3 linked regions of the Caenorhabditis elegans genome follow. The protein of the gene in region 3 interacts with the protein of the main gene of each other region in a pairwise test. Each region holds a gene or a part of one and is shown on either strand. Other genes may lie near its edges.

Region 1 (5,981 bases), on a different chromosome or scaffold from region 3:
TCCTTGCCCAAGTCGACGTCCTCCATGTTTGAAATCTTCTGAAAATGACTCAAAATGAAGATTCCCAAAAAAGGTTAAATGGGAAGAGATGGGAGTGATTTGTGTTCATCTTGGATGGTAGAAGAATCAATCGAAGAACCAACGGTCAATTGACGGCCTCTGTTCGGTTTTTGATAAAAACCGCCTTCAGAATCAGCAGTAGAGCGCGAAAATAAACCTCTTGGGTATCACCCTACAGTCACAGACTACATGTCTTCAATTCTTTTTCGGTTCTTTTGCGGGTGGGCGCGAAAAATATAGGTATGGTATGAGAGAAAGATGTCAAATCACTCAAAAATCAACAAATCAGATATCAAACCTATGTGTTTTACTCATGTTCACCAACTGATTCAACTTAAAATTATTTGGGTCATCGATTGATACTGGATGGTGATGATTTTTAGTGTAAACCTTTTTTTGAAGATCTTTATGAGTTATTTTTCTTTATTGATTTTTAATTTTTAATATTAGAAGACCGGAAAGACTTTATACGTATACGCACTTTAAGCTATGAGTGAAAATGTGCTAACCTTCAGAAAATATCTAATGTAATTGGCTACTGATCATCAACCTTCAGAAATTTATAATCTAATCAAGCGATCAACAATTCGGACAAAAAATCATTCAAATCTATCACATCGACTTTATTTTTGTTTTTATTTTTGCAGATAGTTTTCAGCGTGATATATCAAATATGTGATCAAGATCAACTAAAGTTCATCAACAACATTTGAAGATACTTGTTATGTTAAATCTACTAAAATGTCTGGAAATAATAAATAAAAGCATTTTATAGTTCAGATCTCATGTGAAAATAAACTGTTTTCACAGTCTTATCACTTCCTCAATTTATTTTTTGTCTAGTATCTTGAAAATGAATCAACGTCGATCAATCAGTATCAGTGAGTGACCTTACAAGACAGGTTTCACTTCAATTCTCATAAAAAGAAATACAAGTTGGGAGATCAGAAACTAGTACAATGTGAAAAAGTGTTGCGAGAAATCCTATTATGAAACCATCGAAACTATAAAGTTATTTTCAAAAGCAACGTATTCGCGTTTTCGTCCTCATTTTCAGTTTATATGGGAACTGTTCACAGTTTACAGTGCTGAAATAATCAAAAGTTATATTCAACGATTAAAACAAATTATTTCAAATTAAAGTCAAAAAGTTGCAACTTCTCAGTTTACAGCTATCAAAATTCTTGGAAGTCAACCATTAAGATTGTTGCTCTACATTTATTGAAAACCCCAAATTTTACAGAAAATTTTAAAGCCTATTTATGTGAAATGAAATGGTTTCTGAAATATTCGCCTGACAATTACAAAAATCTTTTGGGGAAAATTTTTGTTTAAAAATAGGAAGAGAAAAATAACTTCGTTTTTGTTTTGAAGGCTATATAGTAAATTGACATCTATGTATGTGAATTACTTCGTCTGACATTGAGAAAAGGTGAGTAAAATGGAATTGTAAATGAGTGATAAAAAGACAAGAATTCGATTTTTCTGTCCTGTCGGGTGTGGTCTGTTTTTCTAAAAGAATTCTAACAAATTTCAGGTTCCGTGAGCGCAATTCGCGAAATGCAATTTGCAACGGAAGGGAAGAACTGTTTATGATTCTGTTTTGGGATACAAGTGAAGAATCAGAAATGCCCTTGTTCCAGAGGCTAATATTATGACGTGGCACTCGAATATCAAACAATGATTAATTGTTCTTTTTGTCCTTTGATTTGAAGGTATTTCTTCGCTTTAAAAACATTTGATATGAATTTCAGATGAAATCAAGTGTGAATAAGTACAGTGCTCCACATCGCATCGTCAGATTTCTCGTAATTTGAATCGTTCGAGAGATATGATTTCTCGATATGCTTCCAATCCTGCGGCTTATGGCCCCAAAAAGTCTTCTGGTCGCCCACCACTTTTTTCTGATCGGGACAAGCGGAATATCGTTTGTCGAGCATCCAATTCAACAGTGACTTGCTCGAAAATAAAGAGCGAGATGAACCTGCCAGTGTATGTTGAGACCGTACGACGAGTTCTTTCGAAGTCCCAATTTATTAAAAGAAGAAAATTGAGAAAGGCTCCATGCGTCACCAAAAAACACCGCCAAAATCGTATCCAGTTTGCGGATGCGATTACAGATATGTGATGAGGCGCGGTTTGATACCGTTTATCCGTCGAAACAGGTCCAGAAAATACACTTACCAACAAGATGGAGCGCCTTGTCACCGCGCGCGTCGTACAATCAAGTGGATAAGTGACAGAGGGCTCCCTGTTCCCGACTCGCCTGCCTGCTCCCCGGACATAAACATAATTTAAAACGTTTGGGGATTCATGATGAGAAAGATTTACGATGGAAACAATAGCAATGTTAACGACCTCAAAAGAGCAATTCTTGACGCATGGCATAAAGTTGACCAAACTCTCCTGGACAATCTTTAACTTTTCATGGATTCACGCGTTTTTGATGTGATTAGTACAAGAGCTCATCCCGTGGATTATTAATCATCTCTTGTTCCTTATTTTTCTAAGTTTTCCTACTTTTCTACCACCTGGCCGTATCATTTTGTGGAGTTTTTTAAATAGTTTTTCATGAAAAAATGTTTTTTTTTCTTTTTTACGAACGCTTCGGGTATATTTCCATCACTTATCTCAAAGCTAGCCAGTACAACGAACATTTTCACATGAAACTATGTTTTGCTATCTTAACCCAGTTTTGAGTTATACCAAAATTTAGGGGTGGCCGTATCATTTTGTGGAGCACTGTATATAGATACGAACAAAAATTAATTTAAAAAAAAACATCAAGGAAAGTTTCATTAAACCGAATCATTGAATCGATGACTGCGAACTTTGAGTACTTGATGGTTCCTCCTCAATTCTAACAAATCGATTCCGTTGCTGGGTGTTGACGTATCTGGAAAAATATCTGATTAGCTTATATACAAGAAAAATTTTCAGAAAGAAATACTTTATTGCGCACGTTTTGTAGTGCTAAACTGATTTTTAAACGAAATTCTAAAATACCTTATGTCGAAATGCAGACCATCCTGGGTGCTGGAATCAATTGGACACAGCCATAATCCCCATCCAAACACTGATTGAAAATTATTATATTTCCCCATATTGTAGTCAGCTGCATTATCAAATCTTAGAAGAGCTGGTTTTGTTTGTTCGACAGTTGTCTCGTTCAATGAGATCAATTGATAATGGAATATGATAAGTTCACCGAGTGGATAGTAACCAAACACTCCGCCGACAATAAAACTGAACAAGTAGAACAAAAACTTTCCCAATTCATCGGTCCATTGTTGATTGATAAAATATCGAACAGCACCTTCTAGTGAAGTGAGCAAATACCAATAAACAAGAAAACTGGTGTAGATAATGTAGAGTAGAAAGTACTTGTAATTGACGTGTGTAACACACATGTTTATCCATGGACAGTGATGATCATACTTAATGCAACACTTCCCACATGAGCTACAATGTCGGGCACGATCCGGTTTGATATGTCCGCACTCGTAACAATACTTGAGCCTTCCCACTTGATCACATTCAGCGACGACTACTTTACAGTAAGTACACATCTCCTCCAAAATAGTATTTTGTTGTGCAAGCTGAAAACTTTGTTGGTGTATTATATAAAGTGTATTTAGCATCCATAAAATAAACAAATAATAATAAAAAACAAAACAATCAAGACAAGATTAAACCACTTATTTTGATTTTTTCACTTTACCTGTTCAGGTGTCGATTTCTCTACCACGTATCGATTTTTCTCCATCGGTGTGACTGCTTTCAATCTATCTTCAAGTTCTTTACTAGGTCGATATCTTTCTGGAACTCTGCCAACTCTCGTGAACAACGTTTTTGCAAGACTCCACATTGACATAACAAACAGAAATGATCCAACAATCAAATAAATGGTTGCTTGAATTGTTGACTGAACGTAATAACCAATTGTCACTGTCACGTACATATAAAGTCTGCAAAAGACCCAGTTAAATGATTCGCAAACAATCAAGAATGACTCACGACCACCAGAGCAAAATAAGTTGAATGAAAAGAAGTACATTGAGACATCTCGTCAAAATCCATCCAGTGATTTTATGTTTAGCGCGGTATTCTCGCACTGCTACGTAAATCTTTGAATACCATGACATTGGTTTTCACTTTTAAATTTCTTGTCTAAATCATATAAACTTTATTTGGTTCAAATCATGTTCAAAAGAACTTACCAAACGACTTCCAAATGCAGAAATGATTGAGAAATATTCAAAAATTGTAAAAAATGTACTGCTGGATTGCGTGAAGTTTTATTTCATTTACCGCAGGAGTAAAAAAATACCGTGGCATTTAGAAATAATGTTTTGTGAAAAAAATTTATGGGACTTTATTTGTTGCTGATTATCGAAGAAATTATTTGGAAGTTAGAAGTAAATTATTTCAAGCATTATTATTATTTATTGTGAAAAAAATGAGAAAATTGTGTCATATATACAGAGAACTGATGTCAAAGTTACGCATTCGATGTCTACTTTCTCTTGCAACACTGTCCATTTCCACATGGAGAATAGTTTTGCTGGCACGAGCAGGAGTTGACTGATTGTGTCTGGCATGGCATCTGGGCTGGTTGAGCAGCAGAACAGGATTGAGAGCATGATTGGGTGCAAGCTGGAGCACATTGTTGCATTGGTTGTTGCTGCTGAACGCATTGCTGTTGGCATGATTGCTGGCATTGTGGTTCACATTGTGCAGATTGGGAGACTGAAGCTTCCAGAATGATTGTGACAGCTTGTGGAGCAGCAGTAGTGGCAACTGGAGCTTGGCATGCAGATTGGCATTGCTGGCATTGTGGAGCAGATGGTTGCTGGCACTGTGGAGTACATTGTTGTTGGCACTGTTGAGTTTGTTGGCACGAAGTCTGACATTGTTGGCAAGCTGGTGCAGATTGCTGTTGACATTGTGGAGCACACTGTTGCTGACAAACTGGAGCAGCTTGTTGGCAGGTATTCTGGCACTGCTGGCACTGTGGAGCTGATGGTTGTTGGCATTGTGGAGCACACTGTTGTTGGCATTGTGGAACTGCTTGCTGGCAGGTGGTCTGGCATTGCTGGGTGCATTGCTGATTGCACTGTTGGGCTGGAACTTGTTGTTGAACACATTGTTGTTGGCATGATTGCTGGCATTGAGGAACACACTGAGCAGAGATTTCCATGTTAATCTTGATTATTTGTGGAGCGGCAGTAGTGGTTGGAGCACATTGTTGAACACATTGTTGCTGACATTGTGGCTGACATTGTTGAATTGGTTGAGTTTGAACACATTGCTGTTGGCACTGTTGTTGGCATTGTGGCACGCATTGAACTGCAGCTGGAGTCTGGACAACACAGGATTGTTCACAGGCTGGCATGCAGGATGGTTGACATTGAACTGGAGCTGGAGTAGTTGGAGTATAACAGGAAGAAGTCTGACAGCTTTGTTGGCATGTAGATTGACATTGACTAACAGATGGAGCAGATTGACATTGGTTCTGGCAAGACTGCTGACAAGCTGGGGCACATTGAGAAGCTTGAATTTGGTAGGTTTGTTGCTGAACTGGTTGGGCACATGAACAGGATTTCTGGACTGGAGCAGTGTTCTGACAGGAACAACTGTACTGTTGTGGTTGAGTATAGGTGGTTCGTTGGCAAGAGCAACTTGGTTGAACTCTTGGAGCACAGCCACAGGATTGGCGTTTATCGCGAATTGTTGTTGCCTGGAAATGATTTTTGTGAAATTTGACTGAAATCGTGGTCAATCGTGGTCGACTGAAATCGTGGAATATATAATCTTATGTCTGCAAGCAATGCTCAAGAAAAACAAATATTTGTTAAATTTGGGTACTTAGCCGATTTTTTTGGATCGCCGCTCAGCCCTGTTCAACAACTATTTAAAAT
Region 2 (6,418 bases), on a different chromosome or scaffold from region 3:
CTAGATGTACTATTTTTCAATGACAAAAGCTCATGTCACTCTGTTTTTGTACGTCCACACTTTCTGAAATCTGATCATCTTTCAGTTAATTTTGTTTTAGAACTACCTTACTTCAAGGAAATCAATAGCACTTTATCGAAAACAACACTTGCTTATCGCAAATGCGATTTCATATCACTAAATGCTCATATGCATTCTTTTAACTGGGCAAAACAAACAAATTTTTTTCCAGTTTTGAATCTAAACTAAATCATTTTCTTAAGGTGTTTAATGAACTTATTGAAATGTATACACCTAAAATGATCCCTCAAAGCCGAAAACAAAAACTGTATTGCTGAAATACAAGCAATTCAAAAGAAAGCATCCGTTTTCCTCAGCTGACGAGATCAAAATGAAAGTTGATAAATATATCAAAAGATTACGAAAAAAGAATAGTAGATTTGAGAATAATATCATTTACAAATCTAAATCACTAGAATTATACCGTTTCATTCGAAACAAATTAACTTCCAAAACCTCTATATCACATTTAGTGATAAATCAAAGCCAAATCAGAGACCCCCCTGGTTTTGCTAACGAATTCATAAATACCTTCTGTCAAAGTTTCAGCCCCCCCATCACCCCACTTTCCCGCTCTACCTGCATCGCAACCTCTAGATACCAAAATTGACCTATCACCCTTTGCAATTGCTTACTTTATCAAAAAATTAAAATCTAAAGTAGGATTTTCCCTAGATAATATAAACTTCCTCATCATTAAGAAATGTTTTGACTCAATTACTGTCCCCCTTTCCTTAGTTTTCACCGAATCTCTCACATCCAAAACATTTCCGTCTTGCTGGAAAACTTCTATTGTTGTGCCATTGCATAAGAAAGGTAAAATTACGGACCCCACCAACTTTAGGCCTATCAGCCTAACACATCCCCTTTCCCGTCTATTTGAGCGCATAATACTCCATTCACTTATGAGAGATTTTGGTCATAAAATATCAAAATTTCAATATGGTTTTCTGAATAAAAGATCATGCCCGTTAGCTCTTATTGATGCCTTATCTACGTATCAAAAGTGCCTAGTGAAACCCAAATATTGATGTAATTCTCATAGATTTCCGCAAAGCTTTCGACACCGTGCCACATGAGCTACTTCTTCTAAAACTACATAATTTTGGTTTAAATGATAATCTTGTTGCATGGTTTTGAGCTTTTCTTTCTGACAGAATATTCAAAGTCAAGATAGGTGACTATATTTCACATAATACATTTTCCAATATATCAGGCGTACTCCAGGGTGCAGTAACGGGCCCATTCCTATTTCTTCTTTATATAAATGATCTTTTATCATCTTTTCCCCCAGATGTCTCGGTAGTTGCTTTCGCTGACGATCTTAAGATCTTCAGCGAAAACTCTGCTAGTCTCCAAAAATCTCTTACTATCATTACTGATTGGTATGAAAAATGGAAACTTGGACTAGCTGAAAATAAAACAGTAGTAATGCACCTGGGTAAACACAACCCTAATTCTTTGTACTATATTAATGAGCAGATTATAATGGAGTCAAAATGCACGAGAGACTTAGGTCTCATTGTAGACAAATTAATACCATGCCTGCAAAAAGGTGTAAAAACGGCCTGAGTGTAAGCAGTGTTTGGTGGATAGCTTGAACAGTATTAATGGTTGATTGTTGTCACATTTTGGAAAAAAATCAGTTTGCATTGTTAAAAAATCGATTTCTCTTTTCTTCGACTTAATGGACGATTTTTTTGTTGCAAAAAGACATCACGATAATTAGATAACATTAAAGCGTCGATTTACAAATAATGCATGCAGGTAGTATTTTTTGGCCGTCTGGAAAGGATTAGACATCATGGACGATTTTTCAGTTTTTCATAATTTTTTTAGAAACTTATATGGAATTTGTTGTATTTGAAAACATTTTCTACCATGGATGACAATTTGAAGTAAGGTTACTTTATTTTTTCTCAAATTTTTCAAATACCTTATAACTCGGGTTGTCTAATAAGAAAATCACAATTTTTAGGGTAATTTGTTGCAATGAAGTTCAATAAATTAATTTGGCACATTCGGACAAAAATTTTTTGGTATTGCTACAAAAATTATTTAATATTAGCTAATATTAACCGAGTTAGCCAAGTTAGCCGATCGGCGAATTCGGTTAAATCGGTTTTAAGCCGCCTACCCCTGTAGTTTTGGTCAGAGGAGCCTAATTACAGGCCGTGCAGCTGATAAGCTTCCGGTCTAGACATAATTGTTTACATTGACAGTTGACGGGGCCTAAGTAGCATAACAATTGTCTTAAAAACGAATAACTCAAATTCCACGTTTTTAAAATTTTAAATATCACCATATTCTACTTCATCATAATGATAACCAAAATCGTACTATTCCTGCTGTTGTGCCTCTCGGCCTGTAATGCCTATACCTATCGGTACGATTATTGCCGTATTGCGTGTTCTGAACTACGTCCAAAAGCTGAAAGACCAAAATGTGCGGAAACTTGTGATAAAGATGTGAGAAGTGATGGTTGGATTGCAAACTGCGCTGGAGCAAGAAGTCCGGAATCGTGTTGGGTAAAAAAAAGTTGTACCGACTGCTTGGTGAATGGCAGAAACGTTTATAATACATGATTGTAATTGTTTCTGAGAATAAATTTTCATAATTTGCATTAATATTGACACTTTTTCGACAGAGTCAAAAAATTATCCATTCCAGAAGTTTCTCGAGCTTATGAGACCTGTTCAATGAGCAGAAAGAAAAAAATTGAAGGAAAATTTGAATTCCGGTTGAAAACCCAAACTACTCAGCCATTTTATTAAAAATCATTCAAAAGTTTAAAAAAATTAATCCTTCTTCTCTGATTTCTCATCCAAATCCGCCTCATACTCCAGGAATTTTCTGAAAAAAACGTATTTTTTTCAATTTTTCAAAATCCCTAAAAACATACTTTCGAATTTCGTCTTTCAAATCATCATCCACGTCATAATATCCACGATATCTTCCAGCTGAATAGGTAAATAGACGAATCACTAGGAAAATGCCAATTGTGTACATTATCACAATCACGATTTGGAATAAATTCAACAATTCACTCAGAGTTGGCTCTTCTTTTGATGTGAAATCACGCATTGAGATTCTGAAGTTTGGAAATGGGTTGGAAGGGCTACAAACTACAAACTACACACTAGAAACTACAAACTACAATTTCCTTAACACGTATTTCACTGATATCGGTATTGTGAAATTAGGTGAGAAATTTGAAATTTTGGAAAAGCCTCAATATGTCTCGAATATGACTTTCAAGCTACAAAATTCAAACTACAAACTACATACTACAGACTACAAACTACAAACTACTATTTCCCTAACACGTATTGCACTAGTATTGGTTTAGAGAAATTAGGTAAGAAATTTGAAATTTTGGAAAATTGCCAATACGTCTCGAACATCACTTGCAGGCTACAAACTACAAACTACAAACTACAAACTATAAACTACAAACTACAACTTCCATAAGACTTATTGTACTGATATCGGTATTGCGAAATTAGGTGAGAATTTTGAAACTTTGGAAAATTGCTAATATGTTTCTAATATGACTTGCAAGTTACAAACTACAAAAAACAGAGTGCACACTACAAACTACAAGCTACAAACTACAAACTACAAACTACAAACTAACTACAGACTACAACTTTTTGAGTTGCAACCCCAAATTGTGGTTTGTAGTCTCAGCAAGCTTGTTCCTCCCAGTTGTAGTTTGTAGTTTGTACTTTGTAGTTTGCATTTTGTAGTTTGCATTTTGTAGTTTGTAGTTTGTAGTTTGTAGTTTGTAGTTTGTAGTTTGTAGTCAAACTCACATGAACCGAGTTGTAACGAATCCCAAAATCAACATAACACGACACCCATAAACAATAATTGCCACTGGATTATCCTGAAATATAATTATGTTGGGTGAGGCTCAGACTACAAACTACAATTCTGCGCTCAGCCTCAACCAACATTGTAGTTTGTAGTCTGAGCTTCAATCTCGGGGTTTTACGGTTTTTTTGAGTGTAAATGAGGAAATTTTGGATTTTTTTTTTGGTAATTATGGAAATCGTAGGCTTTTTTATTGATTTTTTTGGGAAAACAGCTTCAAAATTTCAGATTAAGAAAAAAAATTTCCTAAAATTTAAGTCAAAAATTTCAGATTTTCTCAAATTTTCCGCCAAATATACTCACACAAATCGCCAAAACTGCGGAAATTGAAGTAACCAGTGAAATTCCGTGAAAAATCGCCCAAAATTGGTCAAAAGTGTCGTGGAACTGCAGGAAAATTGGGGATTTTGAGGGGAACTTTCAGGAGAAAAACTTACGAAAATGAGGAAAAGCTCTAAGCCAAATGAGAATAGAGTTAGGGTAAAGTCAAGGATCTGGAAAATATTTGAAATTCAAAAAAAAAAGTGAAAAAAACGTTTTGAAATTTTTGAAAAAAAAAAAAATTTTCCCAAAATTTTCAAAAAATTTTTTAATTCCAAAATTCCAAAAATTATCCCAGAACACTTCCAAAAATTACCATAAAAATGGCAAAAGCCAAAACGACATGAGAACAGCAGAATACAGTGTAGTTTGCATCGTTCGGTGAGCCCAACTCCATCAGAAAACGCATATTTGATTGAAAAACTATTTATTAGTATAAAGTGACCAATGTTTTGAAAAATAAATGAAAATGATTACAATTTGAAAGAGTTGTTGGATTAATAATATTAAAAGCACACGTAGGGAGTTTAAAATTGAAGAAAAAAAAATTATCACGTTAAAAAATATAGAATTTTAAGACTTCTTCGGTCCATAATTATTATCACTTAAAATTTGCCGAGTTAAATTATTAATATGTCGAAAACGATCGGGTCCAAGATGAATTCCACCGTACCAACGTGAAACGACGACCTGAAAGAAGAAATTGGTTGAGGCTCAGAGACTACAAACTACAAAATTGGAAAATTTTCAGTTTTTTAAGCATTAAGATTTTTAATATGCAAAAATCAATCTTTTTTCTTACAAAAACATTTTTTCTAATGAATTTGAACAATCTTGCTATTTTCGACTACAAGTGGTGTCAGGCTGTCTCATTGCGGTTTGATCTACGAAAAATGCGGGGATATTTTTCCAGAAAAATTGTGACGTCAGCACGCTCTTAACCATACGAAATGAGATGAGATGTCTGCGTCTCTTCTCCCGCATTTTTCGAAGATCAAAACGAAATGGGACTTTCTGACTCCACGTGCGACTACAAACTACAAAAATATATTCTGGAAAAAGGCTCAGGACCACTACAAACTATAGTTTCTTGACTACAAACTACAAACCAAAAAAAAACAAATTTTTTTTGAGAAATTTTGGAATTTCGGTGAGGTTCAGATACTACAAACTACAAAAAGCTGAATTTTATCGGTTTTTGAGTATTTTTTGAACTAGAATTTGAATTTTTTTAAAAACCCATAAAAAAATTCGGATTTCACAATTTTTGATTTAAAAAATTTGTAGAAAATTCTATTTTTACAGGAAAAAACCGTTAAAATAACTATGGAAATTTGGGTGAGGCTCAGAGACTACAAACTACAAACCCCGGCTCAGCCTCACCAAAAATGGAATTTCAGGGTGTGTTTGAAACTAAAATTCGAATTTTTTCGAGTTTCAAATTGAAAATAATTACGAAACTCAGAAAAATTAATAAATTTTACTTTTTTGCGAAAAAAAAACTAGTAGAAAATCCTATTTTACCGCTAAAATCCGTTGAAAAGCTACGAAAAATGGGTGAGGCTGAGAGACTACAAACTACAAAATGCTCCGAGCCTCACTCAAAACTTGATTTTAGGGTGTTTTTCAAAATAAAATTCGAATTTTTTGAGTTACACATTGAAAATGTTCACGAAACGCAAAAAATAACGAATTTCACTATATTTTTACAGAAAAAATCTGTTAAAAAACTAAAAAAAAATGGTGAGGCTAAGAGACTACAAACTACAAAAAGCTGAATTTTATCGGTTTTTGAGTGTTTTTTGAACTAAAATTCGAATTTTTTTAAAAAGAAACCCAAAAAAATAACAAGATTTCTCAATATTTTTGGAAAAACCAGTGGAAAAGTTTATTTTTACAGGAAAAAACCGTTAAAATAACTATGGAAATTTGGGTGAGGCTCAGAGACTACAAACTACAAACCCCGGCTCAGCCTCACCAAAAACGGAATTTCAGGGTGTGTTTGAAACTAAAATTCGAATTTTTTCGAGTTTCAAATTGAAAATGTTCAAGAAACGCAAAAAAATTAACGAATTTCACTTTTTTACAAAAAAACTAATAGAAAATTCAAAAATTGGGTGAGACTCAGAGACTACAAACTACAAAACCCCCTGAGCCTCAC
Region 3 (7,377 bases):
TTCTGCAAAATGCGGTCGTGGAACGAAACGAAGAGTTGTCGAATGTGTAAATCCATCATTAAATGTGACAGTGGCAAGTACAGAATGTGATCAAACGAAGAAACCAGTTGAAGAAGTTCGTTGTCGTACTAAACATTGCCCGAGATGGAAGACTACTACTTGGAGTTCGGTAAGATAAAGATAACATTTTTCTCAAGCTACTTCAATTTTTCAATAATCAATTTACAGTGTTCTGTCACCTGTGGCAGAGGAATCAGACGTCGTGAAGTTCAATGTTATCGTGGTCGCAAGAATTTGGTGTCTGATTCGGAGTGCAATCCAAAAACTAAGCTCAACTCTGTTGCCAACTGTTTCCCAGTGGCTTGTCCAGCTTATAGATGGAATGTTACTCCATGGAGCAAGGTGAGAGTTGTGATTTTAGTTGTTTTTGATTTTGTTGGTATTTGTGTAGTAGCTGGCTTTTAAATTTTAAAAGGCTTTTAAATTTTAAATATGAAAGCGGATTTAATTTATATATTTTTGTCTAGAAATAATCATGACTGGCTGCTAATTGGAAGCCTGATATGACCAATTTGAATAATTATTTACTTGTAGGCCATTACTATGATTATCCTATTGAAACCTATTAGGGCTCAGCTATTACACAATTACCAACCATTTTCAACGGTTTTTGCTGACTGAAGAAAACCCCCAAATCTCTCAAAATATGTATGCTTTTAAAAACATGTTCAGAGTCCATCATTCGTTTTCAAATGGATTTGGTAAGAAAATGAAATATTATCGTATTGGTGATCCTTTAGAAATGCTATCCAGTCCACACTTTTTCCCACACATTAAAATAAATTGTTTAAATCTCACAACATATATTCTTTCAGTGCAAAGATGAGTGTGCTCGAGGACAAAAGCAAACTCGTCGGGTGCACTGTATAAGCACTTCTGGTAAACGAGCAGCTCCACGAATGTGTGAATTGGCTCGTGCACCAACTTCGATCAGAGAGTGCGATACATCAAATTGTCCATATGAGTGGGTGCCAGGAGATTGGCAAACGGTGTTGTTTTCTAGAACTAAGTGAATATATAAATTGATATGTTTAGTGTTCAAAGTCATGTGGAGAAGGAGTACAGACACGAGAAGTCAGATGTCGTAGAAAGATTAATTTTAACTCAACCATTCCAATTATATTTATGCTCGAAGATGAACCAGCTGTACCAAAAGAGAAATGTGAACTTTTCCCAAAACCAAATGAATCTCAAACGTGCGAACTTAACCCATGCGATTCGGAATTCAAATGGAGTTTCGGACCATGGGGTGAATGCTCGAAAAATTGCGGTCAAGGTATTCGACGTCGACGTGTCAAGTGTGTGGCCAATGATGGTCGTCGAGTTGAACGAGTCAAGTGTACCACAAAGAAACCACGTCGAACTCAATATTGTTTTGAAAGAAATTGTAAGTTTTAAATTGACTCGAACATAGAATATTGTAAACTTTTCAGGCCTTCCGTCAACTTGTCAGGAGCTTAAATCTCAGAATGTTAAGGCTAAAGATGGAAATTACACTATTCTTCTTGACGGATTCACTATTGAAATTTATTGTCATCGAATGAATTCAACCATTCCTAAAGCTTATTTGAACGTTAATCCAAGAACCAATTTTGCAGAGGTTTATGGAAAAAAGTTAGTTTATTTCAGTAGATTTACAAATTTCTGTAATTGCGATTCCAGATTAATATACCCTCATACTTGCCCATTTAATGGTGATCGTAATGATTCATGCCATTGTTCAGAAGACGGCGATGCAAGTGCTGGATTGACGAGATTCAATAAAGTTCGAATAGATTTGTTGAATAGAAAGTTCCATCGTAAGTAATTTATACTGTACTTGAATTTATATGATCTGATTAATCTGAATTATTTATCAACAATTTAATACCCGTATACAGAAATTGAAACTTTCAGTGGCGGATTATACATTTGCAAAACGAGAATATGGTGTTCATGTGCCATATGGTACTGCCGGTGATTGCTACAGTATGAAAGATTGTCCACAGGGAATATTCTCAATTGATTTAAAATCTGCTGGTCTGAAATTAGTTGACGATCTGAATTGGGAGGATCAAGGTCATCGAACATCCTCTCGAATCGATCGTTTTTATGTGAGTTTTTGAAAACCTTAATTTGTTCAAAATCTATTCTATTTTAAGAACAATGCAAAAGTTATTGGTCACTGTGGTGGTTTTTGTGGAAAATGCTCTCCTGAGCGGTACAAAGGACTAATCTTTGAAGTTAATACAAAATTATTAAATCATGTGAAAAATGGTGGACACATTGATGATGAATTGGATGATGATGGTTTCTCTGGTGACATGGATTAATTTTTTCGATACCTAAAAGTGTCAAAATCTCGTATGAATCTCTACTTCTCTGGTCTCTTATTTCAAGTTTTTGATTCTTTTCTTTTTTTTAGTTTTTAATAGCATTACTTCGAATTTATTGTCATTCCCTCAATCACCTAACACTAGGTTTTCTACATAGTATGTTCCTTGAAAATGTTTCATGATCAAAGGTTACGGTACTTTTGACTGCGCCTTTTTTTCTAATCAAATATTGAAATTCGCTGAATTGTGAGATATATGGGGGCAATTTAGACATTCTTGAACAAAGTTTCTGAACAAAAAAGAAGCGGAAACTGTTTAAAATTTCTCGATATGTATATCCATCAATTTTGCGAATCGCTGAAGTTTGATTTTCCTGATCGATGTTTGCTCCTGTCCTAACTTCGCTAAGTAATTTAGTCTTATCGCAGGAGAATCTTTTTTGTTTTTATTTTTTAATTTGTTCAGTTCAATTACATACTCATTATAGCCTGAGCTTTAAATCTTTCCTTATTTCCAGTTGTTTTCTTTTTTTGCTTTCCTTGTTTTCTATGTTTCAAAAATCCTTGTTTTCCTATTATACTGCCTTTCCTTTTTTCACTTTTCCAACCCACCCGCTGCTTTCCTTCTTCCAGTTAATCTTTTTTTATTAATTGTTTTTTTTAGATATTCTAATTTTCAGCCAGCTTCTTCCTGCCGTTCCTTTCTTTTCTCTTTTTTTCTCTATTCCACTTTACCCACAAGTTTTTCATAGCACTGCATAATATTTATTAAACTTTAGTCAATTCAAATATTTTATTAAAATAGAGTAATAGAGCCTCGCCTTCTTCTGAACGTTATAATAAAAATATAAAATTCAATCGTGAAGTTTACGCTGAAAGAAAACATACAAAAATTAGAATTACTCGTGAAGCTTACTCGAATAACTTTTGGAAATATTCCAAACCATCCGAAAAATATGACTCCGACGAGAAGAACTGAGAAAGCAATCAAAGAAATTCCCCCAATAAGATCACTGAAAAAATACGATTTCCAGAGCATAGCTCACAGCTGCGAAGAATTTGAACTCACAGAGCCATTCCATAACAAATTGGACCATTTTCCCAGCTGCAGATGAACCAAATTCGGTTTCCGTTGTGAGTATGACTATTCGTCATTTTGATATTATAGCAATTTATGATTTTAAAATGTAAAAATGAAGTTTATTCACGCGTCAATTCCAAAAGTGCAACAATAACAACGAAAAAATGTTACAATATATCCAACAAAGTATTCAATGTGTAACGATATTTTAACAAAAAATTAAATTCCAAAACGTCCGTTGAATCCAGAATGACATCCGAATTCGGCATATGGATTTGATTCGGTTGATTGTGCTGGACGAGCAGGTGGCGGTGGCGCAGATGGCTGCTGAGGGATGGGCCCAAGATTATCCGATCTGGCAGGTGGATTCTGAGCAGAAAATCTAACTTTTTGTCCTCCGCGGCGATCTCGTTTTCGCCCTCTGTTCGAATCGAATCCTCTTGACATTTGACTAGCTGGTTGGGTATCTGAAAATTACTAGAATTTGAAAGTAAATTTCAATTATATCTTACATGTGGTGCGTTTAAATTCTTTCTCCGCTTCATCATCACTGAACTCCACGTCACTACCGATGCCAACCTGAGCCATCGTTTCACCAGCTTTTGCAACAGCTTCTTGATGATCAATGCGACGATTTAGGGATTTAATAGCATCCCTATTTGCTGCAGCAAGATTAAGTCCTTTGAATGGAGTTTTGGAAAATTGTTCTTCTGTAGGAGCATAATATACTTTCATGTCAATGGGTATCATCGATGCCTATAAAACTTCTGTTATATATTTTATTTGTCTACTAAAAGCTTCACCTCTTCACAAGAATTGAATCGAATAACGTATTGTGGATTTTTGACTTGTCCAAAAATGTCATAAATTTGTCCCAACGCATTTCCTTTTTGATCGAAAAGAAATGAATCGAAGTCGAGAACTTCTGTGCATGTTGAAATGATAACAACTGAAATACCAATTCAATTAACATTTTATATAAGGTTGACATTTTTGACAATTTACCTTGACAATCCACGACTTTGCTTACAAAACCAAATTCCAGCAATTGTCCTTTACATTCAATACTGAGATTCTCGAGTGGTGGCATATCATCATACTCGTGAACATTACGCTAGAAATCTAATCATTCGAAAAAACATTTCAAAATAATGAAACCTTACCGTTTTTTGTGACTTTTTTGGCTTCCGCTGCTTTTTTCCATTTTCATCCGGGTACTCTGACTTGTGTGTCTTCTCAATAATCTTTGCGGAAAACTTTACTAGCCTGTCAAACTCTTCATCAGAATCAAGTGCACCGGCTCGTAAATCGTTGATATTTTCGAAATCGCTATCATCTCCAGAAAACTCAAATTCACTTTCAGTGTCGCATCCGAAGCTTTTCAATGATGGAGCCTGGCGAATTTCAGTAGGATTCACAACGGTGATAGGATCAACAAGATCCAAAAGTTGATCGACGATTCCATCTTCTGTCTTCATTCCAATTTTTGCGGGAAGTGTTGGTCGAGCACAGAAAGCAAGTGGCACAGGATTTCGATCGATAGTCTAAAATATGGAATATTTTTGGAATTTAAAAGGAAAACATACAATTGAATCATCCAGATTTTCGACTTTAATTGTTTCTTCCTCCATTCTTGATAATATTTTTGCAATGAGTGTAAATAAAAGAATTAACCTAAAAACGAAATAAATTTTTTAATTGAAAAAATTTTTGACGCGAAATCGGAGTGTCGTTTGTTAGTTTGTCATTGGAGCATGTTTGCATTTCACTGATTTCTCTCATTTTTTTTTTTGAAAACATTAAAAAATATATTCTAAATATCATTTTGGCATCTTTAAGTGGAAAATTATGTCGGAGGAAACAATCGAAAAATTTGAAGATAATGTGGAGCATCAAAATCAAGACCAACGTGAGTTTTCCGTTGCATCAGTATGTATTGAATTATAATATTCCAGCAGTACCAGAGGGAATGTCGAAAAAGCAACTGCGACGTCAAAAATACAAGGTGAAATGGGAAGAAAAGAAGTTAGTCAAACGTGCAGCGGAAAGAATTCGAAAAAAGGAAAAACGAGCAGCGCTGAAAGAATCGGGAGATCTTTCAAAGTTGAGGAAACGAAAAGATTTCAGAACAATGGCTCAGTCTAATAGCAAGGTAATATACGATTCCAGTAATTTGTTTAACATTAACTTTTGAACATTCATACAGTAAAAATGTTTTCAACTGGTAAAATCTGACAATTTCCTTAGACTAAAACAACTTTTTAGCAACGAATTGCTTTGGACATGTCATTTGACGATTTGATGATTGAAAAGGATCAAAAACGTACAGTTCAGCAAATCGGATGGTGTTATACTGCGAACAGACACAGTCCTGATCCATTTCAATTTCATGTTGTGGGGTTCGATGGACCATCGAGAAAAGTAATTTTGTTTTCGCACAACAAGTGTTTTAATTGGTTTTGTTGAGATTTATGATGGTAATGAGCACAACCTGAATCAAGACATCCATCTTCACCAAGAAAAATTGGAAAATTTATTTAAACCAGAGGAAATAGTTTATTTGACTTCTGAATCTGAAAATGTCCTGAGCGATCTTGATGATACGAAAGTGTATGTAATTGGAGGAATTGTGGATCATAATTCTCAAAAAGGATTGTGCTATCGAATCGCTCAAGAAAAAGGATTTGGTCATGCAAAATTGCCTTTAGATGAACATCTTCTCATGAAATCTCGACGGGTAATCGGTTTCCATATTTTTGTCCCATAATATTCTTCTGATTTCAGGTACTCACTATCAATCAAGTCTATGAAATTCTGGTTCATTACTCTGTTCACAAAAACTGGAAAGATGCTCTTCTTTCAATTATTCCAGAACGGAAGAATGCTCAATTGAAAGAGGAAGTTGTGGAAGAAAAGCCAGAAAGCCTAGAAGAAATTGGAAAATTAGACACAGAATCCACCGATACTGCCACGGGCTCTCCTAAAATAAATTAATCATTTTCATATTTTAAAATTACACCCAAATGTTGTTATTATTTGTTAACCATTTTCGTTATTTTTTATTGCTTATGAATTTTTCAAAATCAATTCGGATAATATATTGACTACACAACCAGCAATTATAGAACAATTTCGCTCTTTTTGAATGGCATGATTCCCGCCCAATCCGGATTTCAATCTCGTTTTCCATACATTTTCAAAGGCTTGGCAGATTGATGTTCCGTTCCGTCGGTTTTTCACTTTTTCATATTTTTAGATTGCTTCAAGTAAATATTTGTTTTGAGAGAAGGAGTTCAACTTTCAGGATTTTTTTTATTTTTTATATTGTAATTTCACAAGATTTTGGCATGCTTTTTTAAAGGCACACGGATTTGTTCAGATGGGTCTCGGGGCGCAAAAAAATTTATGGTAGTTTTTTTGCAACTGCTTTCATGGTAATTTTGCTTACATTTTTCAATAAAATTCCTTTTTAGCGAAGTTTATCTGTTTTTAAATTAACTTTTCTCTTTTTTCAGACCAACAAACAAGAAATACTCACATTCTTAATTAAATTAGAATTCAGCTGTAATTTTAAAAAAGTACTACAACAAACTTTTTGCGCTCCGAGATCCATCAGAATAAATCCGTGCGTCTTTAAAAACGTATGACAAACTCTTGCGAAATTGCGATATATTTTTTCCAATATTTTACGCTGATAATTTAAAGGCGCACGCTATTTTGCTGAGTTGGTCTCGCCAAGATATCCGTTATAGACGGAAAGCAAATTTTTACAAAATGGAGTTTAAGAAGTCTCTCATTCTAATACAAAAAAAGGACAAGATTCACAATGCAATATCGGGGTGACGTGTATAAAAATTGAATTTACAGTTTCACTGTACATATACATACAGAGGATCATTTTTCCAGTTTTTATTTCCAGAAC

The links. Proteins that work in one complex are often made in the same cells at the same time.
Region 1: the proteins of spe-29 (region 3) and spe-10 interact in a two-hybrid assay, tested with the Caenorhabditis elegans proteins (one study listed by BioGRID).
Region 2: the proteins of spe-29 (region 3) and spe-38 interact in a two-hybrid assay, tested with the Caenorhabditis elegans proteins (one study listed by BioGRID).

Annotation. Positions count from the first base shown.
Region 1 is NC_003283.11:10,382,572-10,388,552, reverse strand, and holds spe-10 (Palmitoyltransferase spe-10), read right to left. Parts: upstream 4,304-5,981; 5' UTR 4,281-4,303; intron 4,231-4,280; 5' UTR 4,206-4,230; coding exon 4,078-4,205; intron 4,029-4,077; coding exon 3,782-4,028; intron 3,660-3,781; coding exon 3,067-3,659; intron 2,957-3,066; coding exon 2,869-2,956; 3' UTR 2,813-2,868; downstream 1-2,812. Other genes in the region: Aminopeptidase-like protein AC3.5, read right to left, coding at 1-26; pqn-2 (Prion-like-(Q/N-rich)-domain-bearing protein), read right to left, coding at 4,577-5,800. UniProt on the Caenorhabditis elegans protein: Involved in spermatogenesis, specifically in the morphogenesis of fibrous body-membranous organelles (FB-MO), which are Golgi-derived organelles used for transporting sperm-specific components, in spermatocytes and in their localization into budding spermatids.
Region 2 is NC_003279.8:10,961,660-10,968,077, forward strand, and holds spe-38 (uncharacterized protein), read right to left. Parts: upstream 4,724-6,418; 5' UTR 4,655-4,723; coding exon 4,574-4,654; intron 4,431-4,573; coding exon 4,374-4,430; intron 4,324-4,373; coding exon 4,240-4,323; intron 3,950-4,239; coding exon 3,876-3,949; intron 3,152-3,875; coding exon 2,963-3,151; intron 2,914-2,962; coding exon 2,859-2,913; 3' UTR 2,813-2,858; downstream 1-2,812. Other genes in the region: impt-1 (Protein IMPACT homolog), read right to left, coding at 4,831-4,947.
Region 3 is NC_003282.8:9,930,062-9,937,438, reverse strand, and holds spe-29 (uncharacterized protein), read right to left. Parts: upstream 3,560-7,377; 5' UTR 3,530-3,559; coding exon 3,444-3,529; intron 3,388-3,443; coding exon 3,291-3,387; intron 3,247-3,290; coding exon 3,229-3,246; 3' UTR 3,117-3,228; downstream 1-3,116. Other genes in the region: gon-1 (Peptidase M12B domain-containing protein), read left to right, coding at 1-169, 229-402, 876-1,049, 1,096-1,447, 1,494-1,674, 1,723-1,859, 1,957-2,153, 2,202-2,372; F25H8.2 (H/ACA ribonucleoprotein complex non-core subunit NAF1), read right to left, coding at 3,675-3,922, 3,968-4,211, 4,259-4,404, 4,461-4,569, 4,619-4,999, 5,042-5,086; trmt-10A (tRNA (guanine(9)-N(1))-methyltransferase), read left to right, coding at 5,304-5,364, 5,411-5,607, 5,721-5,876, 5,923-6,192, 6,240-6,449.